Anolis sagrei: one gene and its partners. The protein of the gene in region 2 purifies or fractionates together with the protein of the main gene of each other region. This does not show direct contact. Links are inferred from orthologs where the notes say so. Each region holds a gene or a part of one and is shown on either strand. Other genes may lie near its edges. The genes, in order: REPS2, RALBP1, AAK1 and AP2A1.

Region 1 (7,296 bases), on a different chromosome or scaffold from region 2:
ATTAAAACTATGTACACAAACCTGATTTCATGCACAAAATTATTTAAAGTACAGTATAAAATTACATTCAGGCAACATGTCTAGGCTATATTTGAAGCATAAATTAGTTTCGTATTTAGACTTGGGTTCCACTGCCTAGCTATTTCATTATGCGTGTAATCGTATATGCAAATACAGGGATTCCAAAATCCAGTAAAACCTGAAATCAAAATACTTCAGGTCCGAAGCACTTTAGAGAAGGGAGATTCAACCTGAATAGATATATTTATTTCAAAATCCGAAACCCAAACACTCCTAGTCTCATGTATTTAGGAGAAGGAGGACTCAGGGACCAATATAACCCAACAACAATATAACCCAGAATATCAAAGCAGAAAATCCCACATTATCTAAGTGTGGATTCAGATAACCCAGTTCAAAGCAGATATTGTGGGATTTCCTGCCTTGATATACTAGGATATAGGGCTGTGTGGAAGGGCCCTGAGTCCACATAACCATATATCCCAGTTCAAAGCAGAAAATATAGGGTTTATTCAGCTGTATGGGAGGGCACTCAATCTGTATGGCTATATACTCCAAAATCGGAAATCCAAAACACGTAGGGAAAAGAGAGACTCAACCAGAACATATTCCAAAAATGTGAATCCAAAACACCTTCTAGTCCCAAACATTTTGGAGAAGGGAGACTCAACTTGTAGATGTATATATTCCAAAATCCAAAACACTTCTGATTACAAGCATTTCAGAACAGGGAAACACAACTTGAATACATATATTCTAACATCCAAGATGCTTCAGGTCCAAATTATTTCAGAGATGGGAGACTCTGCCTCAGGCCTGGGCAAACTTGGGCCCTCTGGGTGTTTTGAACTTCAACTCCCACCATTCCTAACAACCTCAGGCCCTTTCCTTTCCCCCCTCAGCTGCTTAAGTGGCCGAGGGGGGAAAGGAAGGGGCCTGAGGCTGTTAGGAATGGTGGGAGTTGAAGTCCAAACACCCGGAGGGCCCAAGTTTGCCCAGGCCTGCTCTACCTTTATTGATGTTCAAAAGGTAATGAATCCCCTTTTCAAAAGAGAAAACACTCAAGGGAAGGAAAAAGGCTTTCAGAACATAGAGGGAATTCATCCAGCTTATTTATTTTCATCCAAATCTCAATTGGAGCTACTTTTTCTGTCCAAAGAGAACTCATTTAGGGCCCTTCCACGCAGCCCTATATCCTACAATATCAAGGCAGAAAATCCCACAATATCTGGTTTGAGCTGGGTTATCTGAATCCACACTCAAATAATGTGGGATTTTTCTGCCTTGATATTCTGGGATATAGGGCGGTGTGGAATGGCCCTTAGAAGGTGCCTCTCTATACACTAATGCAGTTTGACACTCCTTTCACTGCTATGGCTCAAACCTGCAGGAATCGTGGAAGTTGCAGTTGAGTGAGGGAACTCCAAGGATTCCAGAGCATTGAGCCATAGAGGTCCAAGCACCCTTCCACACAGCCCTATATCCCAGAATATCAAGACAGAAAATACCATAATATGCTTTGAACTGGGTTATCTGAGTCCACACTCAGATAATGTGGGATTTTCTGCCTTGATGTTCTGGGATACAGGGCTGTGTGGAAGGGCCCCATGTGGTACTAAGAGCCCCCGGTGGTGCAGTGGGTTAAAACCCTTGTGCAGGCAGGACTGAAGACCGAAAGGTCGCAGGTTCGAATCTGGGGAGAATGTGGATGAGCTCCCTCTGCCAACTCCAGCTCCCCATTTGGGGACATGAGAGAAGCCTCCCACAAAGATGGTAAAACATCTGGGCGTCCCCTGGGTAATGTCCTTGCAGACAGCCAATTCTCTCACACCAGAAGCGAATTGCAGTTCGTCAAGTGCTTGTCCATTATGCCCTGCCTCATGTACATAGGATGAATTGTTGGAGGCTACAGACAATGCCGTTGCTGTTGCCCGTTTTTGGTCAAAAGACATTTAGATGCCTGCACACTTTCTATTTTATCTGTTTCATACTAATTCATGCAATACGATACGAAATAAATAAATAAAGTGGCACCTGGCATGAAAAACAATTCTACAGTTTATTTATTTATTTATTTGTCACAATTTTCTCCCGCCCTTTTCAGCCCAAAGACGACTCAGGGCGGCGTACAGACTGGCAACAATTAGATGCCGAACACACATAAATACACCATTTAAAACAGGTTAAATCACGTAATAAAATTAATTTTAAAACAATTTAAAACTATTAGAATCAATGACTTCTGGGTTGAAATCCATGTCCATTTGCATCGTTAAGCCGTTCCATATTCGTTCACAATACTGGGTTTATCTGGTGTAGAACAGGCATGGGCAAACTTCAGCCCTCCCTCCAGGTGTTTTGGACTTCAACTCCCACCATCCCTAAGAGCCTCGCTTAAGGGTCTGAGGGGGGAAAGGAAGGGCCTGAGGCTGTTAGGGATGGTGGAAGTCCAAAGCACCTGGAGGGAAGGCTAACATGCGCCCATGCCTGGTGTGGATGCCCTGGGGGGGGGGGGGGGGTGCGCTCTGCACATGTCCAGGAGCACTCTTGCCTCACCTGGAGGAGGGCCTCGGGAGGGAGCTGCGACGCCCGGAACAGCTCGGCCACCTTGCTGCCGGAGGCGCCTGCCTCGGAGCCCGCGGCGTTCCCGCTGCCGCCTCCGCCGCAAAGGCAGAAGAGCTCCGCGTAGCGCTGCTGCTGCTGCTGCTCCCCGGAGGAGGAGGAGGAGGAGGAGGAGGAGGAGGGGGCCTCCATTGCAGGGGCAACGGCGCCCCCAAGTCCTGCCCAAGAGGCTCCGCCGCCGCCGCCGCCTCTGCAGCCGCGCTCGCCTCCTCTCCCTCCGCTGTCCTCCCTTTCTGCGGCAAAAACAGCGGGAGGGAGGCGGCAAGGCAGCAGCAGCAGCTGCAGGAAGAGAGAAGGAGAAGAGGAAGAGGAGGAAAAGGGGGAAGGAAGGAAGGAAGGAAGGAGGAGGGGAAGGAGGCTCCCTTCCCCGAGGCACGTGCCTCCACTTCCTCCTCCTCCTCCTCCTCCTCCTCCTCCTCCTCTTCTCCCACTTCGTCCTCCCTGGACTCCGCAGAGGAAGGCTCAAGTTTTGGAGCAGGGAAGCTTGCGTGGCTCAAAGGCTAGGGCAGGGTCTTCCACCCTTCCTCATGTTGTGGTGACCCCCCCCCCCCCAACCATCCGTAATAACATTATTTTGGTTGCTCCTTCATAACTCATTTTGCTACTGTTAGGAATCCTTATGTAAATAGCTGATCTGCAGGATGGATTTTCATAAACTAATATGCTTCCTCCTGTTGTGGTGATCCCCAACCACAACATTATTTTCCTTGCTATTTCATAACACTAATTTTGCTACTTTGATATGAATTGTAATGTAAATATCTGATATGCAGGATGGATTTTCATTTGCTGGACCAAACTGGGCACAAATACCCGATACGTCCACATTTGAATACTGGTGGGATGGGGGGGGGGGGAGGATTGATTTTGTCCTTTGGAAGTTGTAGTTGCTGGGAATTATAGTTCACCTACAATCAAAGAGCATTCTGAACACCAACAATGGAATTGAACCAAACTTGGCACGCAGAACTCTCTTGACCAACAGAAAATACTGGAAGGGCTTGGTGAGCATTGAGCTTGAGTTTTGGAGTTGTAGTTCACCTACAAGGAGCCCCCAGTGGTGCAGTGGGTTAAACCCCTGTGCTGGCAGGACTGAAGACCGACAGGTCGCAGGTTCGAATCTGGGGAGAGCGCAGATGAGCTCCCTCTATCAGCTCTAGCTCTTCATGCGGGGACATGAGAGCAGTCTCCCACAAGGATGGTAAAAACATCAAAACATCCGGCATCCCCTGGGCAATGGCTAATTCTTTCACACCAGAAACGACTTGCACTTTCTCAAGTCGCTCCTGACACGACAAAAAAAAAAAGTTCACCTACACACTGTATAATCCAACAATGATGGATCTGGACCAAACTTGACACAAATACTCAATAATATGCCCAAATCTGAACACTGATGGAGTTTGGAGGAAATAGACCTTGCCATTTGGGAGCTGTAATTGCTGGGATTTATAGTTCACCTACAATCAAAGAGCATTCTGAACCCCACCAATAATGGAATTGAAACAAACTTGGCACTCAGAACTCCCTTGACCAACAGAAAATACTGGAAGGGTTTGCTGGGCATTGAGCTTGAGTTCTGGAGTTGTAGTTCACCTACATCCAGAAAACACTGTGGACTCCAGCAATGATGGACCAAACTTGGCACAAATACTCAATATGCCCAAATGTGAACAATGGTCGAGTTTGCTGTAAATAGATCTTAACATTTGGGAGTTGTAGTTGCTGGGATTTATAGTTCACCTACAGTCAAAGAGCATTCTGAATCCTACCAACGATAGCATTGAGTTAAACTTCCCACACAGAATCCCCATGTCTTGAAGGGACTCACTGGTGTGAGCCTCCCTCCAGCCTCACACGCTCTCCCTCATCCACACATGTGCACCAAGCTGCCATTGAGAATGTCTGCTGTTCCCTCCCCACTTGGAGTCTTAGTAACAGCCCTCCCCTTGGCTGAGAGGCCTTGAAGGGACACACTGGCACAAGCCTCCCTCCAGACTCACATGCTCCATTGCCTGCATATGTGTGCCACACAGCCATGCACCAGGCACGCCTGCTCTCCCCTCCCCCCCCCCCTTGGAGTCTCAGAAACAGCCCTCTCCTTGACTAAGAGGCTGCCTGAGAGGCCAGCCAATCACAGGGGAGGAGAGTTTTTGGTGGGAGGATTTGCCATCTGTTTTCCAAAAAGGAAGAGAAGGACACTGGAGAGATCTTCATCTTTCACTGCCAAAAGGGTTCCTAAGGCCATCAGAAATATATGTTTTATGATGGTCTTTGGTGATCCCTCTGAAACCCCCTTGGGACCCCTAGGTTGAGAAACGCTGGGCTGGGGAATCCTGAGAAGGCGAAAAGACGGGTGCATCTGCACTCTAGAATGAAGACAGCTTGATAGCACTTTTAACTTCTATGGCTCCCCATGGAGACCCAAGAGTTGCAGCTTTGGTGGGGCGCTATGTGGCAGGAAAGGCTAAAGAGTTGGTTAAATGACAGCTCCCACAATTTAGTTGTATTGAGCCATGCTAGTTTGGCATCAAAGTGCAGTAATTCTACAATCTAGATGCAGCACGTTTGTTCCGGCAAACTTGGGCCCTCTAGGTGTTTTGGACTCCAATTCCCACAATTCCTAATAGCCCCAGGTGATATAGTATTATCTAAAGCAGTAGTTCTCAACCCGTGGGTCCCCAGGTATTTTGGCTTACAACTCCCAGAAATCCCAGTCAGTTTACCAGCTGTTGGGGATTTTTGGGAGTTGAAGGCCAAAACATCTGGGGATCCACAGGTTGAGAACCACTGGTATAGACTGAGGGAATCCCTTTCCCCTGGCTCCTGAATGACAGATGGAATGTGTCTATTGGTTATCTTCTCCCTCTTTCTGCTCTCATTCTGATTGGCTATGTAGAATGGATACTTTACAGGTGCATGCCTTTGTTTCATACTTCTGCTTTTTTACATCTGTGTATTGACACCTTTCTCTGCTTGGGTGTGTCAGGAGAGATGTAGTACTTGGAGATTTCCCCCTCTCTTGTGAACCCTAGAAAAGATGGAGTGGCTGAGACCCAGTTATTTACTATTAAAAATGTAGTTATTATTTTTGTAAATAAAACTTGTGTAACTTTAAAAATTGAACTCTGCAACTTTGAATCCTAAACACTAAATTCTTTTCTGACTACAACACTTCACACTCTGTCTGCTGTGAGCTGAATGCTCAAACTATAAGTATCATGTTTGTAGTTTTGAATGCTCTGCTGTATTTTTGGGAGTTGTCCCTAACAACTAGAAGGCACATACATTATGACCCACCATCTATGCAGGGGATATGTTCCTAGACTTCATTTCAATACATGAAACTGTGGATATTAACAAACGCCATTGTTTTTAATGGGACGAATGAAGGTTATACTGAGAAGAGGGTGTAGCTTGTATAGGAGCTCAAAGAGGGTCTGTGATTCTAAGTTAATAATGGAATGATAGGTTCTGAAAATATGGTGTTGTACATACACACAGAGAGAGAGATTTCAGAAATCTGGCATGAGGCATGCACCAAACCCATTATAGTACAGTATCCATGGGGGATATGTTCCCAGTGTGTATGGATATGCAAAACAGCAGATAATAGCAAACCCTATTAAAATAAAGGACTCAAGAATACTATAGAGTCGTAGGACCTAGAAAATGTCTAGAATTTACATTTTCTTGCACAGTGATCCAACAGATATGAAGGTCATACTGTCTTTGCTTTAGATCAACCTGTTTGGAAGGTTATTCAATTCACACACAAATCTACATCTCAATTTGGAAATCCAAAGAAATGGATTTAGACACAAGAAATGGGTGTAATTTTTTTTTTCTTCGTGGTCTCTGCGAATTCACACTTGTGGAGAGACTGCGCCTGCGCGGGCTCCAACGGAAACTTCTACATTTTAAAACTTTCAAGTTTTGGCGGTAACCCCGCCCAGCCCCGGCAGGGGATAAAAGGGCGCCCCGCGCACACCGATCCAATTCCTGTTTTTCCGCCGCACGGCTCGCTTCGGAACTTCGTTGGATAGAGATTCTCAGATTTCTTCGAGTTGTTTGACTATATTATGTCAACAACTCGCTTTAAAAGATGTGTGAATTGCCCGAGGAAGATTCCTGATTCGGACAAGCACACTCTTTGTCTTTTGTGTCTCGGCGAGGCACATATCACTTCTTCGTGTCGTCATTGTCAATCTTTGACGGCACAGTCCCGAAAAAATCGGGTCCATCGGCTTCGATACCTGCTCTACCAGCAGACGTTGGCTCCGGTACCTTCAACATCGACATCGGCGTCGACGTCGGCCGCGGTATCCAGGCCTTCAACTTCGACTTCGGGCTCGAAGTCGAAGGTAGCATCGACATCAAAATCTGTCGATCCCTCGGCGGACGCCGAGCCCCGCCAGACCAGGGAGAAGAAGGCTGCGCAAAAGAGGCCGAGAGCAGCTATGTCGACAACCTCCAAGGCCTCGGTGTCGGTAGCTTCTAAGGCGGCAAAGCCTACAAAGCAGAAGGCTCCATGCACAGTCACAACCGAGACTGTACGCATCCGGCACTCTTCGGCCAGCTCTGTGGCATCAGTGAGATCGATCAGGTCCACGAGGTCGACATCAGCGACTCCGCCATCTTCCACGGCGGTTC
Region 2 (7,008 bases):
AAAGACCTTGTAAAACTACCACACCACTGTCTGCATAGCATTGAGCCATGGCAGTTAAAGTGGTGTCAAACTGCATTCATTCCACAGTGTAAATCAGGCATGGGTAAACTTCGACCCTCAAGGTGTTTTGGACTTTAACTCCCACAATTCCTAATAGCCAATAGGCTGTTAGGAATTGTGGGAGTCCAAAACACCTGGAGGGCCAAAGTTTGTGCATACCTGGTGTAGTTGATCCCTCAGTCTCTTGCAGCACAAAAAGAAAGCAGGGGAGAAAAAGAAGAGTGCGACAACATCTGGTTTTTATTTTAGTATGTGTTTTCATGGATATAAACCCACTCCTTCACCTGTAGTATGGAGTGATATTAAAGCCTCTTGCAAAAAAGCATATCTATACAAAATACATACCTATTAGATTTTGTGTTATCATATTATTGAGCGCTTTTGTGATCCGCTCCAAGTCCCTTCGGGGAGATGGTGGAAGGAGACAATTAAATAATAATAATAACAACAGCAACAATAACAATAATAAAATAGTTGTGAAAGTAGGCTAGAAGGCAATAGGATCCAGAAAGTTGTATATTATTATTATTATTATTATTATTATTATTATTAAGGTAAAGATTTTCCCCTGACATTAAGTCCAGTCGTGTCTGACTCATGATTTTCTGGTACGTTTTCCTTCTCTCCATGTTGTCAATTTGTCATTATATTGTTCTCTGCATAGTTTGGTATTAGTAAAGTTTTCTCTTTGACATTAAATCTAACAGTTTCCAACTCTGGGGGGTGGTGCTCATCTCAATTTCTAAGCTGAAGAGCCGGCGTTGTCCGTAGAAACCTCCAAGTTCATGTGGCCGGCATGACTCCATGGAGCGCCGTTATCTTCCCGCCTTAGCAGTACCTATTGATCTATTCACATTTGCATGTTTTTGAACTGCTAGGTAGGCAGAAGCTGGGGCTAACAGTGGGAGCTCATGCTGCTACCTGGATTCGAACCTACAATCTTTTGATCAGCAAGTTCAGCAGCTCAGCGGTTTAACTCACTGAGTCACTGGGGCTCCTATTATTATTATTATTATATGTATTACTTGCTGTACCTGGCACGTGTTACTGTGGCCAACCTTCCCTCCCTCTTTCTCTCCTTTTTCTTTCTCTCCTCCCTTCCTTTTTCTTTCCTTCCTTCCTTCCTTTCTTCTCTTCCTCTTCCCTTCCTTCTCTCCCTTTTCTTTCCCTTTCTCTTTCTCCCAGTTCTTCCTTCTCTACTTATTCTTGGATTGCAACTCCCAGCAGTCCTCCTGATCGATCTATCTACCTACCTATCTATCTCTATCAAATCTATCTGGAGGATTGCTGGGGGTTGCAGTCCAGGAATAGAAAATTTGAAATATGCAGGGATTGAGATCCAAGGTGAAGAAAGCTTGCATCTTGCTTGCATCTTGGAAGCAGTGCATGTGGATCATCCTCCTCTCCTAAAGGGCCTGGTCTATGGGATGCTGGAAGTTGTAGTCTAGAAGAGAGTGTGGATATGCTATTGTGTGTTTTGTTTGCTGGGGAAGTCATTTTTGCGCATGTGCTGTAGCAATGTCATTTGACACCACTTTACTTGCCATACTGTAGAATCGTGAGGTTTGTAGTTTTCTAAGGTCTAAAGTCTCTCCTTTTTGCTTTTTTGGCTTTTTAAGTCCCTTCTGCTGTGTTTTTATGAGTGATGGTCACTTGTTGGCCTGATAGGTGAATTGTGTCCAAATTTGGTGTGAATTCGTCCAGTGGTTTTTGAGTTATGTTAATCCCACAAACGAACATTACATTTATTTATTTATTTATTTATTTATTTATTTATTTATTTATTTATTTATTTATTTATTTATTTATTTATTTATTTATTTATTTTATATATATATTTTATATATATATTTTATATATATATATATTTTATATATATATATAAAATATATATATAAAATAAATAAATTTTATATATATATATATTTTATATATATATATATATATATATATATATATATATATATATATATATATATATATAAAATATATATATATATAAAATTTATTTATTTTATATATATATTTTATATATATATATAAAATATATATATATATAAAATATATATATAAAATATATATATAAAATAAATAAATAAATAAATATTAATAAAATAAATATTAATAAAATAAATATATATAAAATACGTATCTTCTCTCCCAAAGGAGACTAACGCTAAAAACCATACCGAAAATATCATACCCGTTGTCCAAAATTTCAAAATCTACCAAATACATCTAGTTCTGTTCACATACAGGTTGCTGGGATGATGGCCAATACCACTGCCATCCTAACCCCCTTGAAGCCCTACTATTGCCTATTGGCAGGCAACAGGATTGGTGTATTACGAAACAGAAGCAGGCTGGTAAATTTCATTTATTATCACTGCATGTTCTACTCACCATGAAACCAGCTGACATTGGGAAGTTGGTGGGAAAAAGACAAGAGTTGGAATGGAAACCCTGCGAGGGGTTCAGAGTGATTCAATTCCCCGCCAGGGCGCTAGAGGGCGCGAGGCCCTCCTCTTGCGCGTGCGCAGTACAGGGGGCGCCTCAGCGGCGGATCAACGGCCGCCCACATTCTCGGGGGGGGGGGGGTGGGAGTGAGGGGAGGGAGTGGTTTAAACCCCGGTGGGAAAGAAAGCGGCGGGGGGAAGTGGGGAGCCTTAGCACCGACCTGAGGAAGAAGAGGAGGAGGAGGCGGGGGTCCCGTCGTCGCTGACGCAGGACGGCTCTGCTCCCTTCCGGCGTCAGGGCGGCCCGCCTTCAGGCCCCATCCCGCCGTCGCCTGTGGAGTAAGCCTGGCGCGAGGCGAGCAGGGGGCGGCGGCGGCGGCTCCGAGGCGCATGCGCGGACTCCTTCCGGCTTTTCCGGGCAGAGGCCGGAATCAGGCGGCGCATGCGCGTGGGGAGGAGCTGTCGGAAGAACCCGAGAAGTGAGCCCTTCGAGAGGAGGCCAGAAAAGGTTGGAGGGGGCACAAGTGCGCATGCGCACTTCCTCCTCCTGCTCTTCCTATGCTTACATAACGAATGAAGTGTGGCTCCGTGTTGCCCTACGCCCCGCCCCCCCCTTTCTCCCTTGTGATGCATCTTGGGAAAGGAAGTCTTAACAAGGCAGGGAGTGCAGTGGGGTTTCTGTTGGAGCCATAAGTATAGGCAGGGGCAAACTTGGGCTCTCCAAGGTGCTTTGGACTTCAACTCCCACCATTCCTAACAGCCTCAGGCCCCTTCCATTGGAAGGGGCCTGAGGCTGTTAGGAATGGTGGGAGTTGAAGTCCAAAGCACCTGGAGGGCCCAGGTTTGCTCATTATTATTATATGTGGGGTCTATTCCTAAGTAAGCTGTCGAAATGTATACATGGCAGAGGGTACGTTTTAATGTCATTTGACACCACTTTAATTGCCATACTGTAGAATCGTGAGGTTTGTAGTTTTCAAAGGTCTAAAGTCTCCTTCTCTGCCAAAGAATGCTGATGACAAACTACAACTCCCAGGGTTCTATAGCCTTGAGTCCTAGATGTTCAAGTAATGCCAGGCTGCATCCGTTCTACAGTGTGGCTATTGCTTGAATGTAATTTACCAAATATTTAATATATATTAATATATTTAAGCTTAAATATATACTTAAAGTGAACCTTACAAACTGTGGCATGGGCACCGAGAACTGGGAAGCCCTGACCCTTGGGAAGCCCTGGCCCTCTAACTGGAGGTCAGCTGTGGCCAGCAGTGCTGCAGAATTCTAAGAGTCATGAATGGAGGGTAAAAGGGAGAAATGTGCCAAGAGGAAGATGCATCAAGCAAACCCTAACCGGGACTGCCTTCCACCTGTCCTCTCTGTGGAAGAATATGTGGATCAAGAATTAGGGCTCCATAGTCACAGACATTTAGAACTGGGAAGCCCTGGCCCTTGAGTGCTCTAACTGGTTTGTAGTTTTCTAAGGTCAAAAATCTCGCCTTCTCTGCCAAAGAATGCTGATGCCCCACCAAAGTACAACTCCCAGGATTCTATAGCCTCGAGCCCTGGAATATACTTGCAGGAACACCTTGGCAAGCGAGAGTCCAAAAGTGGCAGGCTAAAACCCAGCACCTCAATCCATGGCTGATACCAAATGAGAGACTCCCTCCTGGGCACACAGAAGACTAGGCGACTTGGAAAGCACTGAACAGACTGCACCACGGGATGCAGAGCCAACCTTAAGAAATGGGGCCACAAAATCGAGTCCATGACATGTGAGTGTGCAGAAGAATAAACCACAGACCACCTATTACAATGCAGCCTGAACCTTGCCATGTGCACAATGGAAGACCTCCTTATAGCAACATCATAGGCACTCCAAGTGGCCAGCGACTGGTCAACGGAAATTTATTATAATATCACGTTTTTAAACTTTGTGTTTCTCACATACATCACAACTGTACCCTTGGTTTGCTGCTGATACGATAAAAAATAAATAAGCCCTGGAAGTTCAAGTAGTGTTAGGCTGCATCCGTTCTACAGTGTGGCTGTTCCTTAAATATAATGTAGTTAAATATTAATATATTTAAGCTTAAATATACACAAAGCAAACCTTAAAAACTGTTGCATGGGCACCGAGAACTGGGAAGCTCTGGCCCTTGAGCGCTCTAACTGGACGTCAGCTGTGACCAGCAGTGCTGTAGAATTCGAAGAAGTATGAATGGAGGGCGAAAGGGAGAAATGTGCCAAGAGGAAGGCGCGTCAAGCCAACCCTGACTGGGACTGCCACCTGGAAATGGATGCCCTCACTGTGGAAGAACATGTGAGTCAAGAATAGGGCTTCACAGTCACAAACACCAAGAATTGGGAAGCCTTGAAAGGCCATCATACACGGACAACGAGAGATTGCCTAAGTAAGTGAGTATAGTTTGGTTGCACCCCACATTGAAGGAAGGGGCTATTTATTTATTGTGTCAGAAGCAAGTTGAGAATATTTATGTATTTTAAAAATGCAATCAGAGTTAAAAACTTGACATTATGTTAAATTTCCTTTGACTAGAAACTGGCCACTTCGAGTGCCTCTGGCGCCACTGTAAGAAGGTCCTTCGTTGTGCATGTGGCAGAGCTCAGACTGCATTGTAGCAAATAATCTGTGGTTTTCCCTTCTCCACACCCACGTGTCGTGAACTCCACTTTGTGGCCCCATTTCTTAAGGAAGGGGCTGAGTTTGTTACAGTGCTGTTATGCAGTTGTTCCTAACCTCTGGTCCTCCCAATGTTTGGACCCCAACTCCCAGGAGCCCCAGCTGGCTTGGCCAACTGCCAGGGATTTTGGGAGCTGAAATCCAAAACACCTGTAGAGATCAAAGGTTAGGAATCGTTGGTGAAGTAGTACATTTTGAAAGTGTTGGTACTCATTTCCACCAAAGAGCAACTAAAAGTTAAAGTGTGTATGGTAGACAGACAAGACTGCTGCATTGGCAGTGCCTTTGAATACCCCTATTCTTTGAAAATTGCCTGTTGAGGACCATGTAGCTCCTTAGCTGACAGGCAAAAAGTTGGGCAGCTCTGCTTTCTGATCCAAGCAAACCAGCAAGGGAATGTGAATTTGCATTGGTTTTTGTGACATTCAATTGGCTAGTATCAGTCTATGGGTGCATCTATACTGCAGAATGATTGCAGTTTGACACCAGTTTTAACTGCCATGTCTCAGTGTTCTGGAATTCTGGCACTTGTCATTTGGTGAGGCAACAGCAGTCTTTGCCAGAAAAGACTAAAGACCTTGTGAAACTGCATCTTCCGTATTCCATAGCATTGTGGCACAGCAGTTAAAGTAGTGTCAAACTGCATTCATTCTGCAGTGAATTTTATCTGTGGCCTCCCTTGCAGGCCCTTGGGATCTGTTTACCTTCCTCCCTATTTCTCAAATGTTGGTAAGCCCACACAACATTCAGTCAGCTTCTTATGACTACACTTGGGCTCCCAGCCAGTTTCATAAATTAATAAAAGGGAAGGGCTGACAGACAGCATTTAAAAGGGAAAGGCAACTAATCTGCTCATATTACACCCGGATTTATAAATACCTCCTTTGTTGCTTATGCAGAAGAATACTACTGAGTGTACCCTTGCTCCAACAACTGAGATACAAGTGGCGGTGATCAGGGCAGTGTTTCCAAAACTAGCAAGACTTTTTGTTCACCGTTCATCTTTGCTTGTGAGAAAGCAACTGCTCCTATATATATATATATATATACACACACACACACACACACACACACACACACATACATACACACACACACACACACACTCTTCACTGCTATAGTGACTGGGTTAAAAGGTTTTTGGGGCCAGTGGTGACTTGTGATATTAGCTGAGAGTTAATGGCATTGATGAAGAATGTCAGACTGGGGTTTGGGAGGCTTAAGGTCAAGTCCCTACCTGGCTGTGAAATAGACAAGATGATCTACTTTCTCACCATAATCTACTTTTTCAAGAAGGTTGTGACAACAAGGAAGAGGAGGATAGTTGTAATCATGGCTTTCAGTTTATTGAAAGAAGGGTATCATCTTTAGCATCTAGAAAGACATTGTAGATGCTAAGGATGGTCATTGAATTGTTGCACAATGCTGTGGCATTCGACCAAGCAATTTGCAGAACAGATGGATGCAGTGGGCTGCCACTTTGCTTTATGCACAGGCTTTAAAAATAGCATAAAAAAGATCTGTAGCCTAATAGCAGGGTTCACCAATTTGTTTTGCAGCAGCCTTTGCTCTTTTTCTGATCTTGAAAGAGAAACTAAGTGTACCAGAAGAGATGGGGCATCTCTCTTGCTGTACTTTTTAAGTGTTGGGATTATTTGTCTGGCCCAAGTCCCCACTTGAGAGTGTGAAGAATCTCTCCTGACTTTTCTCAAATTCTACAATGTGTTTATTCAGTGAAGCTGGAGTATGGGGGAAGATAGACTCCTTGGATTCTTTTTGTGCCAGCAAGGC
Region 3 (7,227 bases), on a different chromosome or scaffold from region 2:
CATGGTGGGTCAGTCCCATCAAATCCCTCCAGTACATTCAGTTCTTCCTGGGGTTCTGTGTGCCAAGTTAGGTCCCAGTCCATCATTGATAGGGTGCAGAGTGCTCTTTGACTGCAGGTGAACTATAAATCCCAGTACAACTAACAAATGTCAAAGCCCAAAATCCACTAGCATTCACATTTGGGCATATTGGGTATGCATGCCAAATTTGCTACAGTAAGTCGTAGCAGGATCAAGTGTGTGCTAAAGAAAAATCTTATGATGTTAATTATTATGTGCAGCTGGTAATGTAGGTCAGTCAACAACCTCCATGAACCTTTTACATCTACTGAATTGGACATGGCTCTCAACAAATGTAAGAATGGCAAAGCAGCTGGCTTGGATGATCTACGGATGGAACAAATCAAGAACTTTGGTCGACGGACATTTAACCAACTACAAAGTTTGCAAAATCTGTGTGGTTTTTTTTCTTTTTCTTTTTAATCTGTGTGTTTGTTTTGTTCTGTTAGAATTGTAACACAATGGTATGGTTTCTGATAACACGATAAATAAACATGTTTGGGCCACACCTGGTGGGGTATAACTGTATGGATTTTAGAATACAGTTTGGAGAAGCAATACGCTACTCCGAGGAAGAGAAGCAATATGCTGTAATGCTGCTATGCTCAACAGCGATGCTCTTTGCTATGGTGGAATAGCTATTTACTCAAGGTTTATGTTTTGTTCTCTCATTTGAATGAAGACGAAGAAGCCTTGTTCTGTGTTACTTACAAGGACTATGTAAATTTGTTGTACTGTTTGATTTTGTATGCAACACTGCAAGTTTATGCCTCTGCTGATAAGTTTTTCTGTTCCTTTTTCCTCTTGCCTGTGTGTCTTATGCATGGGACTTGGCTAAAATCCGCTTCTGCGCAGCAAAATTTTGTGCAGATCCATTGTTGTTTGCAATCACAGTGCTCTCTGGATGTAGGTGAACTAGAATTCCTATAATGACAAATTCCTTCCAAAAATCTCCTGCATTTTCTCGTGAAACCCTCTTATAGTGGCGAGGCAACGGGGATGTTGGGAGGGGAGAGGCTGGCTACTACCACATCACATTGTCGACTCATATTATTCTCAGTCGCAGATACCTGATTTAGTTTTGACATAAAATGAGCACATTTTTTTCTCTATCTATACACATAATAAAAGTTGAAATATGTATGTGGCAAGAGAGTCCACTTACACAAAGTTCTACAAGCAGCTATAGTTCCCAGCCATCAGGAGACACAAAAGGCCCTCCCTCAAACATTGAAAGTTATAGTGAGCACCATGAACATGTCTAAATGCCTGCCAATGTTCTCCACAGACACCAGACCGCCCACCCCCCAGTGAAAGCTTTCATAAGGGGACAATTTCAACCTAGATTTTTAGTGAATGAGGGTTTTTGAGTGGAAAAAAACAACCCATGCAATTCCTGACGTGGCCACTGGGGGCGACGAAGGACCGTCCATAGGCAAAGGGTGGTTGCATGAAGAAGCTGAATCTCAAAGGAGAGCAATTCCCGATGTGGCCACTGGGGGCGGCAAAAGGTAGGTTGTTGTATATAAATATTATGACTATTGTTATTGTTACTACATTTGTTATTACCGGTAATTTATTATTATTATTATTATTATTATTATTATTATTATTATTATTAATTATTTGCTGACACAAAACCACAGTATGCCACAGCAAATGAGATCTGTATGCTGGATTTCGTATCACAAAATCACAAGTTGAACATTTCCCAAGCGTCTAGGACTGTGTGATGCATTTTTGAATGATACGCGCAGATCTAAGTAAGGTGGCCTTTTGCAGTTAACAGATCGTGATTTTGTTACATTTTTAGAGTTTCCAAATGCCCTTTGAGATCTTTTGGCACGTCACCCAGTGTGCCGATGACCACTGGGACCACCTGGGCTGGTTTATGCCAGAGCCTTTGCAGTTCGATTTTGAGGTCCTGATAACGGCTGAGTTTTTTCCTGTTGTTTTTCCTCAATGTGACTGTCACCCGTATGGCGACATCAATAATCCAAACTTTTTTTCTTTTCCACAATTGTGATGTCTGGTGTATTGTGTTCCAAAACTTTGTCAGTCTGGATCTGAAAGTCCCACAGTATTTTTGCGTGTTCATTTTCCACTCCTGTTGCAGGTTTATGATCCCACCAATTCTTTACTACTAGTAGGTGGTACTTGTGACATAAGTTCCAGTGAATCATGCCAGTGAATTATTATTATTATTATTATTATTAGTAGTAGTATTACTATTTGAAACACAACAAGATGAGTCCACAGCAAACAAGGTCACTCTGCTGGCTGTTGTATTGGATCACATGTCGGACACTTCCCAAGTGTTTAGGACTGTGTGATGTATTGGCGAATAACGCGTGCAGATCCGAGCAGGGTGGCCTTTTGCAGAGACTTACAGAAACAAGCTCCTGCTTGTTCATTTACAGAGAAAATTTCCTCCACAAACAGGTACAGCTCCCACCACTCAGGAGACACTCATGGCCTTCCCTCTAATGACATTGCAGGTTCATGGGGAGCACCAAGAACATGTCCAAGAACTCTGCCAGTGTCCTCCACCAACCCCATACTGCCTACCACACAAGTGACCGCATCTCTGTGTACAAACCCACACGATCTCTTCATTCATCTGGAGAGGCCCTGCTCACGATCCCACCTGCATCGCAAGCGTGATTGGTGGGGACGAGGGATAGGGCTTTTTTGGTGGTGGCCCCTCGACTCTGGAACTCCCTCCCTAAGGACATCAGGCAGGCCCCATCACTAGCAATCTTTAGGAGGAGCTTGAAAACATGGTTGTTCCAGTGCGCCTTCCCAGAATAAGGAAACTCCTAGCATTATGTCCCAACGCACTTTATCAGAGATCCAAGATATCTGCATGCCCCCCCCCCCCACCAAACACTCCACCTGGTCATGCCCAGCACTTTTAATTTTTAATTATTACATTTGGCCCTGCCATTGATTTTAATTGTGTCGTTGTGTGCTGTTAATGTTATTGTTTTGTTTTTTAGTTATTTTGCTGTTTGTTGTTGCTGTTGTTTTTACTATTGTATTTGGGCTCAGCCTCTTGTAAGCTGCACTGAGTCCTTTGGGAGATGGTAGCGGGGTACAAATAAAGGTTTATTATTATTATTATTATTATTATTATTATTTCATAAGGGGACTGTTTCATCCTAGATTTTATGTGCTTCCTCCACCACAGACACCCGTGTTTATTATTATTATTATTATTAAATTATTATTAAATCTATTATTATTTCTATTATTATTATACATACAACAAGATGAGTCCACAAGCAGACAAGATCACTCTGCTGGCTGTTGTATTGGATCACACGTTGGACATTTCCCAAGTGTCTAGGACTATGTGATGTATCGGCGAATAATGCGTGCAGATCCCAGTAAGGTGGCCTTTTGTAGCTGGCAGATGGTAATTTTGTCAGCCCTGATTGTGTTTAAGTGCAGGCCAAGATCTTCAGGCACTGCACCCAGTGTGCCAATCACCACTGGGACCACCCTGACTGGCTTGTGCCAGAGTCTTTGTAGTTCGATCTTTAAATCCTCATGTGTCAGTTTTTCCAGTTGTTTCTCTTCAATCCTGCTGTCACCTGGGATTGCAACATTATTAAAGTTATTATTATTATTATTATTATCATTATAATTAGAGATTTCTGGTCTGCTTTGGGTCTTGGTTCCTAAGATCAAAGCAGGAAATAAACCTATTATATAATAATAATAACCTATTAGTATTGTTATCACCATTAAGCTTTGGGCCCAGTTCCTTTTTGGTGGAGGCTGGGACTCCAAAACCGGCTCTAGCCAACAGATGACACATAATCCTGCCATTCAGAGCACACCACTCCATTGCGCCTGCGCAGCACTATGTCGCGCGCGACGCCTATCGGGGCTTGTAGTCCCCCGCAGAGCCAAACGACTCGGAGTCCGGGAACCCCTCCTCCCAGGATGCAACGCGTCGCGAACGTCTTATTTTCCGGGGGGGAGGGGTGGGAAAAAAGGAGTGAAAACCAAATAAGTTGTTGTTCTTCTCATTATTATTATTATCATATTCTAGGGATAATTATCATTCTTCTGCTTTGTGTCGCCATGACTGAAAAGATTTTGATGAAAGGGCTTGTATGAGGGGAAAGGCGGCGCTTTCCGGGCAGGAAGGGGTGAAAGGGGCGGGGCTTGAGGTAGCCCTTCCTACTTGGCTCCGCCCCCTCGCTCCGGCTCTTCCTAGCAGCGGGGCCCCTCCCGCCGCCCGGCTGGCTCTGTGGAAGCGGCGAGAGCGTCTCTTCCTCCTCCTCCTCCTCCTCAGTGAGGCCTTCCTCACCGGCGGAGCCTGCCTTTCCTGAAGCCTGAGGGGGAAAAGGAAGCAGGCAGGCGGGCACGAGGAGCAGGAGAAGCCGGGGACTGGGCCTCCTCCTTGCCTGCCTTCCTTCCTTCCTTCATTCGGCATGGTCTCCTCCCCGCCGGCCCCGGTCGCTGAGCGAGAAGCCGAGGCGGAAGTGGCGGCGGAAGGGCCTGGGAGCGATGCCGGAAGGAGGCCGCCCAGGCGGGCAGCGCAGCCCAGCAGCCCCCCCAGCAGGTGAGCAGGAAGCCAGGGAGCCCCAAGGCATCATCCCTATCTATCTACTTACCTACCTATCTATCTGTCATTTACCTGTTTATCTATACCTATCTATCTATCATTTATCTATTTATTTACCTACCTATCTACCTACCAGTCTATCTACCTACCTAACATTTACCTGTTTATCTACCAACCTATTTATTTACCTATCTTTTAATCATTTACCTATTTATCTATCTACCTACCTACCTATCTATTTATCATTTACCTATTTATCTATTTATCTACCCACCTATTTATTTACCTATCTGTTTATCATTTACATATTTATTTATCAATCTATTTATCTACCTACTTACCTACCTACTACTTATCTATTTATCATTTAACTATTTATCTATTTTATCTACCCACCTACCTATTTACCTTTCTATCTATTTATCCTTTACCTATTTATCTATTTATCTACCCACCTATCTATTTATTTACCTATCTATTTATCTACCTACTTACCTAGCTTTTTACCTATTTATCTACCCACCTACCTATCTATTTGCCTATCTATTTATCATTTACCTATTTATCTACCTACTTACCTATCTATTTACCATTTACCTATTTACCTATTTATCTACCCACCTACCCATCTTAATTTCACAAAGACTATGCATGTAGACTGTTGCACACATCTATTTACCTATCTATCTATCATTTACCTATTTATCTACCCACCTACTTATCTATTTACCTATCTATCTATTTACCATTTACCTATTTATCTATTTGTCTACCCACCTACCTATCTATTTGCCTGTCTATCTATTTATCATTTACCTATTTATCTATTTATCTACGCACCTACTTATCTATTTACCTATCTATTTACCATTTACCTATTTATCTATTTGTCTACCCACCTACCTATCTATTTGCCTGTCTGTCTATTTATCATTTACCTATTTATCTATTTATCTACCTACTTACCTATCTATTTATCATTTACCTATTTATCTACCCACCTACATATTTATTATTTACCTATTTACCTATTTATCTATTTATCTATCTATCTATCTATCTATCTATTTATCTATTTACCTATCCACCCACATGTATATATACACACATAAATAGATATATACATATACATGCATGCATATACACACATAAACATGCAAATACATACAGGGAGGGGGAGACCTCCTAATACATATCTATCCAGCTATTCACAGATACATATGCATACATACATACATACATACACACACACACATAAGCACATAATTTACCAATCCACCCATATGTATATATACATACATAAATGCATGCATATACACACATAAACGTGCATATACATACAGGCAGGGGGAGACCCCTAATACATATCTATCTAGCTAGCTATTCACACATATATACATACACATAAGAACATAATTTACCTACCCACCCACATGTATATATACATACATAAATATGTATGCATGCATATACACACATAAACATACCAATCCACCCACATGTACATATATATAAATAGATATATACACACGCATGCATGCATATACACACATAAACATACAAATACATATAGGCGAGACCCCCTAATACATATCTATGTATCTATCAATTCATACATACATATACATACATACACATATGCATATTAATATATTCATATACAAACCTGTACATATACAAACCTGTACATGTATACATTGTAATATAACAGTACTAATATTAATAATGTTGTAATATAATATGTTAGACTACAACTAATTAAATAGTACAATATATTATATAATACGAATGGTGTCCTATACTAGTAGTGTTATAGTAGTGTTATATACATATATACATATACATATATACATATATACATATATACATATATATATATATATATATATATATATATATATATAGTGGTATACGGCACAATGTAATACTAGATAATATAATAATTATATATAATATGACTAATATTTCAGTATAGTACAGTAAAATAATATATAATACTAACATTGTGCTATGCTAAGAACACAATATGTTGTGTATACAGATAATAGTAATAATATAATATAATACAATATAATAATAATATTGTAACAGTACTAATATATAAAATATACTGTTAACATATAATAATGTATAATGGTAATGCTGTTTTATTATTAGTACATTAGTACATTTTAAGTTGTATTGTAATATTTTTAATTGTGAGCCATGTTGAGTCTCCATATGGAGAGATAAAGTGGGATGTAAATAAATAAATATACACACATGCACATAAATCTATGCATACATATACCTACATATTTATATGCACATAAATATATACATACACATACACACATGTATACATACATGTATAAATACATACACACCTCTATACATACAGATCCTTTCACACTACATAAATACATATAAACCTATACATAAATACATATATATACATATACAAATAAATACACATTCAGTCACATGCGCACATATATGTGTGTGTGTGTGTGTGTGTATAACACATCTATCCAGAGCTCCCCTATCCCGTCTCCACCATTTTCCTGTCATTCCTGTATCCCTCCTGTTCCTTTCTTCCAGGGCCGCCC
Region 4 (7,566 bases), on a different chromosome or scaffold from region 2:
ATGTAATCCTGTACTATGGAATGTGTCCATTTCCCTAGTTTTGGATTTTTGTGTATGATTCACTTTTTGAATGCCCTTGTTGTGGGAACATGGGAATGAAGAAGGGCATTGAAATCCACACATGAACAAACCAGGATGAGAGTTTGTTCCTTTCTTCCTGCCTCATGAGCCCTTCTCACATTCTCCGTTGACAACTTTTTTTTGCTTTTTTATTGCACCCCACTTTTTCTCCCTCCAAATATCAGAAATCAGGTAAAAACCAGACACTTAATGATAAAATTGGAAGAGATCACAAAGGCAATCCAGTCCAACCCCTGCGATGTAGGAACACATAATCAAAGCACTCCCAACAGATGGCCATCCTGCTTCTGTTAAAAAGCCTATAGAGCAGGAGACTCCATCCCACTCTGAAGCAGAGTTCCACTATTGAACAGCTCTCATGGTCAGGAAATTCTTCCTAATATTCAGGTGAAATCTCATTTTCAATCATTTGAATCTACGGCTCCACTGTGTCCTAGTCTCTGGAGCAGCAGAAAACAAAGCTTGTCCACTCATCAACATGACATCCTTTCAAATATTTAACCTTGGTTCTCATGCCCCTTTTTCCTTTGCAACCCTCATATTCTCCAGCACCCACTCCCTAGTCCACCTCCACACAAGCCCCATCTGCACTGACCATTTAATGCAATTCAGACCTAGCTTCAAACTGTGGCATCGAGAAAGTCCCACAAAAGTGTGTGAAAGAAAATCCTCTGTATAGTTTGTCTTATCACCATCTGGACCAGGGTTTCCTTTGTGTATTCATCTGCACGACGAAACCACTTTCTTCAATGTCAGTTTGAAACTGTGTTAAATAGTCAGTGGAGATGAGACCACAGTCTACAACCATACAACAATGTCCATCTTCCACATTGGCACCTGGTGGCTCGCTCTGTTTTTCAAGTTAGTTCCAAAAAGCTGCTTTGCTATAATAATAATAATAATAATAATAATAATAATATACCATCTGCCTGTGACAAAGAATTGGTGGAATTACAAGCCTGAAAAAGTTACGAAAATAAACACATCAAACAATTCTGAGACTTCCAAATTCAGACTGACAAGTTCTTGGAAACACAATACTCCTGACCTCACAATTGTGGAAAAAAACCAAGTATGGATCTTTGATGTTGCAATCCCACGCGACAGCAGGATTGATGAGAAGCAACTGGAAAGGCTGACACGATGTGAGGATTTAAAGATAAAACTGCAAAGACTCTGGCACAAGACGGCAAAGGCGGTCCCAGTGGTGATTGGCACACTGGGTGCAGTGCCTAAAGACCTTGGCCTGCACCTAAAAACAATAGACGCTGACAAAAATACCATCTGTCAGCTGCAAAAGGCCACCCTACTAGAATCTGCACACATTATTTGCCGAAACATCACAGAGTCCTAGACACTTGGGAAGTATCCGGCGTGTGAGCAAACACAAAAGCCAGGATAGTGATCTTGTTTACTGTGTACTAATATTATTATGTATCAAATAATAATAATACTTTATTTATATTTCACCCTATGTCCCCAAGTGAACTCCTAAGCCAAACCTGTCACCCAACCTACAGCTGACACTGTAGCCAACTCGTAAGTCCAACTTATCACCTTAGAGCAGGTATGGGCAAACTTTGGCCCTCCAGGTGTTTTGGACATCAACTCCCACAATTCCTAACAGCCGGCTGTTAGAAATTTTGGGAGTTCAAAGCACCTGGAGGGTCAAAGTTTGCCCATGCCTGCCTTAGTCAAATCTCCCCTTGCCAGCCAGCCAGCCTGAACTATATCCACACTGTAGAATTAATGCAGTTTTATGTATTGTCTAATCACCTCTCAGGCACTCTCAGGTCATTATAGTGTATGCTAATCAAGGTGGTCAGTTGAAACATTCACACCTAGCTCCAGCAGACAAGAGTCCTTTGTCCCACCCTGGTCATTCCACAGATATATAAACCCTTTTTCCTACTTCCAACAGACCTCACTATGTTTGAGGATGCTTGCCATGGATGCAGGCGAAACGTCAGGAGAGAATGCCTCTAGACCAGTGGTTCTCAACCTGGGGTCCCCAGATGTTTTTGGCCTTCAACTCCCAGAAATCCTAATAGCTGGTAAACTGGCTGGGATTTCTGGGAGTTGTAGGCCAAAAACATGTGGAGACCCCAGGTTGAGAACCACTGCTCTAGACCATGGCCATATAGCCCGAAAAAACCTACAACAACCCTAATGCAGTTTTGATCCCACTCTTAATTGCAATCACTCAATGCTATCCAGTCCTGGGGAAGTTGTAGTTTTGTGAGGCATATACAGCTCTGGTGCCCCAACAAACTACAACTCCCAGGATCCCATGGCAGTGAAAGTGGGGTTAAAAGCGCTATAATTGTGCAGTGGAGACACAGTTGTGGAACTAGCTCAGTTTGGCAAAAACTTGGGACTCCCAGGGCATCCTGGGAGCTGTAGTTTCACAAGGTCTGTCAAAAAAAGGGGTGCTGGTGCCTGGCCAAACTACAACTCCCAGGGTCCCAAGCAATGGCAATTAAAGTGGGATGGAACTGGATCAACTCCACAGTGTGGATGCCCTCACAATTTTTCTCCAAGAGCAAGGCTGGAGCCAAGGGGCCCCCAGGAGCCCCTCCCAAGGGCCCTCCTTGGCCTGGCCTGGCCTAGCCTGGCCGTCAACCGGCTTCCTGCCTCCTTCCCGGCCGCAATCCCACCCGAGGCCCCTTTCCGAGCCCCCCTTCGGCCCTCTCCCATTCCCTCCTTCCTCTTCAACGGCCCCTCCCCTCCCGTTCTCCTCCAGCCTTCCCCATTTGCTCACAGTTTCGGATATCGGAGATAAATACGGCCAGGCCCCGCATCCCGTCTCCCTTGGAAACGGCCGGCATGGTGGCGGTGGCGGATCGGGACCCCGGCGACGCTCCGTTCCGCTCCGCGCCCGAAACCTGGCCCAGCAGCACCGAACCGACCAGGGACTATCCCATTGGCCGCTCTCTACGTCCGTCGTAGGCGATTTTGCATCCCATTGGCTTGAGACCCCGCCTGTCAAGTCCATCCTTGTTCCTATTCACTGAAGGCAAAGCATCCTCCTAGATGATTGGCAGAGAGGATTAAATCCCGCCTATCCCTCTCCCTATTGGCTCCGCCATGCCCCTTATGTCAAATAAGTCCCCTGCCGTCCTGCATTTTCCATTGGGCGTAGGTTAGGACATGTCCCGCCTATAGTTCTTTCCCTCCCGCCCCTTTGTAGACAATCTCTTCTTCTTAGTGGTTCTGAGGAATGTCCTTCAAGGGATATCCCGCCCTCCTTCTCTCCAGCTTCTTGCGAAATCAGCACGCTTAGTTCCCGCCCCACTGATGGACAGTCAACACTTCTTCTGGGTTCTTATTGGAGGAAGAGCTTCTTGTCATTCAAGCAGCATGCTTCTTTTCATTGGCTAAAAGAGGTGACAGCGGAACGGCGGCAAAAGGAACATTGGGGAGAGGAGACTTGGAGACTGGGCTGGGAGGGGCAGCTGACGTCACGAGGTTTGAGCCAATAGGCGCAAAAGAGAAATGTTAAAGGATGGAAAGGCATGGATTCAAATCCTCTTCCATGTGGTTCGAGTTCTTCTTATCTAAGTGTACTATTATTTCTTCTACATTTATTGTTGTTGATAGTCTAATGTTTATATTATTTAATATAATGTAATATAATATAATTTATTGTATATACATATAATATTTATAATATTATAATGTAATGCAATATAATAATAATAATATATTATTATAATTACATATTTATTTTACATGTAATATTACTAATAATATTTCAATATAATGGTATAGTACAATATAGTAATATTTAATACTGATATTGTACTATGCTAATAATATAATATATTGTATGTATATATATTTTGTAAGCCGCTCTAATTCCCCTCCGGTGTGAGAAGGGCGGCATATAAATGTCATAAATAAATCTATATAAATAAAAATGTAATGTTCGTTTGTGGGATTAATAGAACCTAAAAACCACTGGACAAGTTGACACCAAATTTGGACACAAGACACTAAAAAAATGGATTTCGTCATTTGGGAGTTGTAGTTGCTGGGATTTGTAGTTCACCTACAATCCAAGAGCATTCTGAACCGCACCAACGATGGAATTGAACCAAACTTGCCACACAGTTCTCCTATGGCCAACAGAAAATACTGGAAGGGTTTGGTGGGCAGTATCCTTTGGTTTTGGAGTTGTAGTTCACCAACATCCAGAGAGCACTGTGGACTCAAACAATGATGGATCTGGACCAAATTCTTCACAAATACTCAATATGCCCAAATGTGAGCACTGGTGGAGTTTGGGGAAAATAGAATCTTGACATTTGTGAGTTGTAGTTGCTGGGAGTTATAGTTCACCTACAATCACAAAGCATTCTGAACCCCACCGATGATAGAATTGGGCCAAACCTCCCACACAGAACCCCCATGACCACCAGAGTGGGCCACAGCAATGTGTGGCAGGGGATGGCTACTAAATAAACAATCTTAGTAGTAGTATTTAATAATAATAATATATATTTATTATAATAAATATAATACTTATTTACAATAATAGTAATATTATTTTGAAATTATCATTCCCAATATTGCTTAAAATATTTATTAAGATGAGAATTAGTAAGTTTTTAGTACCATTTTATTTTTTTTAAAGATAAAAAATAGTACTTATATAGAGCAATGTGAAGATATGGCAAGTGCTATCTAGGATCTGTTTCTAGAGAATTTAAATGCCAAACCACTTCTGGGCAAGCTATTTAACTTCAGTAGACTGAAAGCCAAAACCAAGGTCACAACATCTGTTATAGAACTCCAATATGCTGATGACAATGTAGTGTGTGCTATCTCTACAAGCCACTCTAAACACCTTTGCAGAAGCATATGAGAAACTCGGCCTCTCACTGAATATCGAGAAAACCAAAGTGCTCTTCCAGCAGGCATCAGCGAATCCCTCTGCAATGCCAAAAATACAATTTAATGGTGTAACGTTAGAAAATGTTGACCATTTCCGCTACCTTGGCACCCACCTCTCCACAAAAGTCAGCATTGACACTGAAATACAAAACCGCCTGAATTCTGCGAGTGCAGCATTCGTCCAAATGCAGCACAGAGTGTTTGAGGACCAGAACATCCATAGGGTTTACCAAGGTGCTTGTTAATAAAGCTATTGTCCTCCCAATCCTGCTGTATGCCTGCGAAACGTGGACTATCTACAGATGTCACATGCAACTACTAAAACGATTCCATCAGCACTGCCTCTGGAAAATCCTGCAAATCTCTTAGGAAGACAAGCGGACAAATATCAGCGTGCTGGAAGAAGCAAAGACCACCAGCACTGAAGCAATGGTCCTCCGCCATCAACTCTGCTGGACCGGCCACACTGTCCGAATGCCCAATCACCGTCTCCCAAAGCAGTTACTATACTCCCAACTCAAGAATGGGAAACATAATGTTGGTGGACAGGAAAAGAGATTTAAAGAGGGGCTTAAAGCCAACCTTAAAAACAGTGGCATAGACACCGAGAACTGGGAAGCCCTGACCCTTGAGTGCTCTAACTGGAGGTCAGCTGTGACCAGCGGTGCTGCGGAATTTGAAGCACAAATGGAGGGCGAAAGAAAGAAACGTGCCAAGAGGAAGGTGCGCCACGCCAACCCTGACCAGGACAGCCTTCCATTTGGAAACCGATGTCCTCACTGTGGGAGAACATGCGGATCGGGAACAGGGCTCCACAGCCACCTACAGACCCACCGCCAAGACACCACATCTGGAAGACCATCATCCTCTAGCAACGAAGGATTGCCTAAGTAAGTAATTAAGGGTGCTTCTACACCAGGCATGGGCAAACTTGGACCCTACTGGCTCTTAGGAATTGTAGAAGTCCAAAACACCTGGAGGGCCCAAGTTTGCCCATGCCTGTAGAATTAATGCAGTTAGACACCACTTTAATTGCCATGGCTCAATGCTATGGGATCCTGGGAGTTGTAGTTTTACAAGGTCTTCAGCTTTCCCACGCTGCTGTTGCCTCATCAAAACTACAAAATCCGGGATTCCATCGCAATTAAAGCCATGCTAAACTGCATTAATTCTGCAGTATATAGAAACATAGAATAATAGAATTGGAGAAGACCAAATGGGCCATCTATTCCAACCCCCTGACATGCAAGAAAAGAACAGGATGTAGTTGCACCCTGAGTCAACCCTTTCCGTTGTAAAAAAAAATAACGTAGCATCGGATTCGGCTGATGCTACTTGTTCAAAACCCTCAATGTGAGGATGTTTTTATATGACAGGTTTTGCAGGAAGTATTTAAATGGGAAAACCGTTCCTCTATGGGTGCTGTCATGTATATTTTGGTTCTTAGTTTGCAAAGCAAACAAGCTTTTGATCTTAATCTACAGTAGTTACTTTGTCAGGCATGGAGAGCAAGAAAATGTTGTTTTCTGTCAAAGCTGTTATGTTTACCAGGGAAATCTGTTCCTCTTTAATGCAGAGGCATAGGGTGAAGTACATTAATAGTGCTCATCTACATAGGCCTGTGCAGAAACAAATCTTAGGAAGCACTCCTAATGGTAAGAGGTGTTTGGCAGTGGAATATACTGCCTCAAAGTGTGGTGGAGTCTCCTTCTCTGGAGGCTTTTAAGCAGAAGCTGGATGGCCATCTGTCAGGAATGCTTTGATTGTGTGTTCCTTCATGGCAGAATGGGGTTAGACTGGATTGCCTTTGAGGTCTCCTCTAACTATCACCAGAGTTCCTGGTAGATATATAGGCATAACATTGCAGCCAAATTTAAGATTTTGGTGGCACTGAATCCTCAAATTTTGTCCCTGAGAACTCTTTGAGAGTTGGGTTGCTGTGAGTTTTTCGGGCTGTATGGCCATGTTCTAGAACCATTCTCTCCTGACATTTTGCCTGCATCTATGGCAGGGATCCTCAGAACTTGTGAAGTCCGTTGGAAACTAGAAACATGGGGTTTATATATCTGTGGAATGTCCAGGGTGGGAGAAATAACTCTTGTCTGTTGGAGGTAGGTGTGAATGTTTCCATTTGCCACTTCGATTAGCATTTAATGGCCTAGCAGTTTTCAAGGTCTGGCTTCATACTGCCTAGGGGAATCCTTTGTTGGGATTGTGGATTGTCCCAGAATCAGAAATGTGTGGATCAGGGGTGTCAGATTCATTTACATTGAGGGTCACATCAGCCTTATGTTTGCTGTGGAAGGGCCATTGAATCCATTAATGGAGAATCCTTGGATACAGAGGGCCCACTATAATTTTTTGACATAGTGGTAGGTGCTCTTTTTCCTCAGTTTGAGTCACCAGATTTTATTGAATGACAACTCACATCACTTTTGATTATCTGCCATACAGACTGGGGATAATGGGAATGGCAACCCAACATCACTTCTGGCTCTGAGGATGGGGAAGGGCTAAAGGACATTTTAAAGGCAGACATCGTATCCACAAGCCTTGTATCTAAATCCAAACTCCACTCTCCAACTAAAC

Evidence for each region.
Region 1: the proteins of RALBP1 (region 2) and REPS2 purify together in Homo sapiens (affinity purification with mass spectrometry; 3 studies listed by BioGRID and IntAct, counting the BioPlex papers as one, with this or other methods). This does not show direct contact. The link is inferred for Anolis sagrei from reciprocal best matches to the Homo sapiens genes RALBP1 and REPS2.
Region 3: the proteins of RALBP1 (region 2) and AAK1 purify together in Homo sapiens (affinity purification with mass spectrometry; 3 studies listed by BioGRID and IntAct, counting the BioPlex papers as one, with this or other methods). This does not show direct contact. The link is inferred for Anolis sagrei from reciprocal best matches to the Homo sapiens genes RALBP1 and AAK1.
Region 4: the proteins of RALBP1 (region 2) and AP2A1 purify together in Homo sapiens (affinity purification with mass spectrometry; 5 studies listed by BioGRID and IntAct, with this or other methods). This does not show direct contact. The link is inferred for Anolis sagrei from reciprocal best matches to the Homo sapiens genes RALBP1 and AP2A1.

Annotation. Positions count from the first base shown.
Region 1 is NC_090023.1:90,116,167-90,123,462, forward strand, and holds the start of REPS2 (ralBP1-associated Eps domain-containing protein 2), read right to left. Parts: upstream 3,024-7,296; 5' UTR 2,776-3,023; coding exon 2,578-2,775; intron 1-2,577. UniProt on the Homo sapiens protein: Involved in ligand-dependent receptor mediated endocytosis of the EGF and insulin receptors as part of the Ral signaling pathway. By controlling growth factor receptors endocytosis may regulate cell survival.
Region 2 is NC_090024.1:64,796,766-64,803,773, reverse strand, and holds the start of RALBP1 (ralA-binding protein 1), read right to left. Parts: upstream 3,004-7,008; 5' UTR 2,738-3,003; intron 2,546-2,737; exon of another isoform or gene 2,464-2,545; intron 1-2,463. UniProt on the Homo sapiens protein: Multifunctional protein that functions as a downstream effector of RALA and RALB. As a GTPase-activating protein/GAP can inactivate CDC42 and RAC1 by stimulating their GTPase activity.
Region 3 is NC_090027.1:20,520,104-20,527,330, reverse strand, and holds the start of AAK1 (AP2-associated protein kinase 1), read left to right. Parts: upstream 1-4,215; 5' UTR 4,216-4,636; intron 4,637-7,227.
Region 4 is NC_090026.1:28,906,367-28,913,932, forward strand, and holds the start of AP2A1 (AP-2 complex subunit alpha-1), read right to left. Parts: upstream 3,001-7,566; 5' UTR 2,910-3,000; coding exon 2,843-2,909; intron 1-2,842.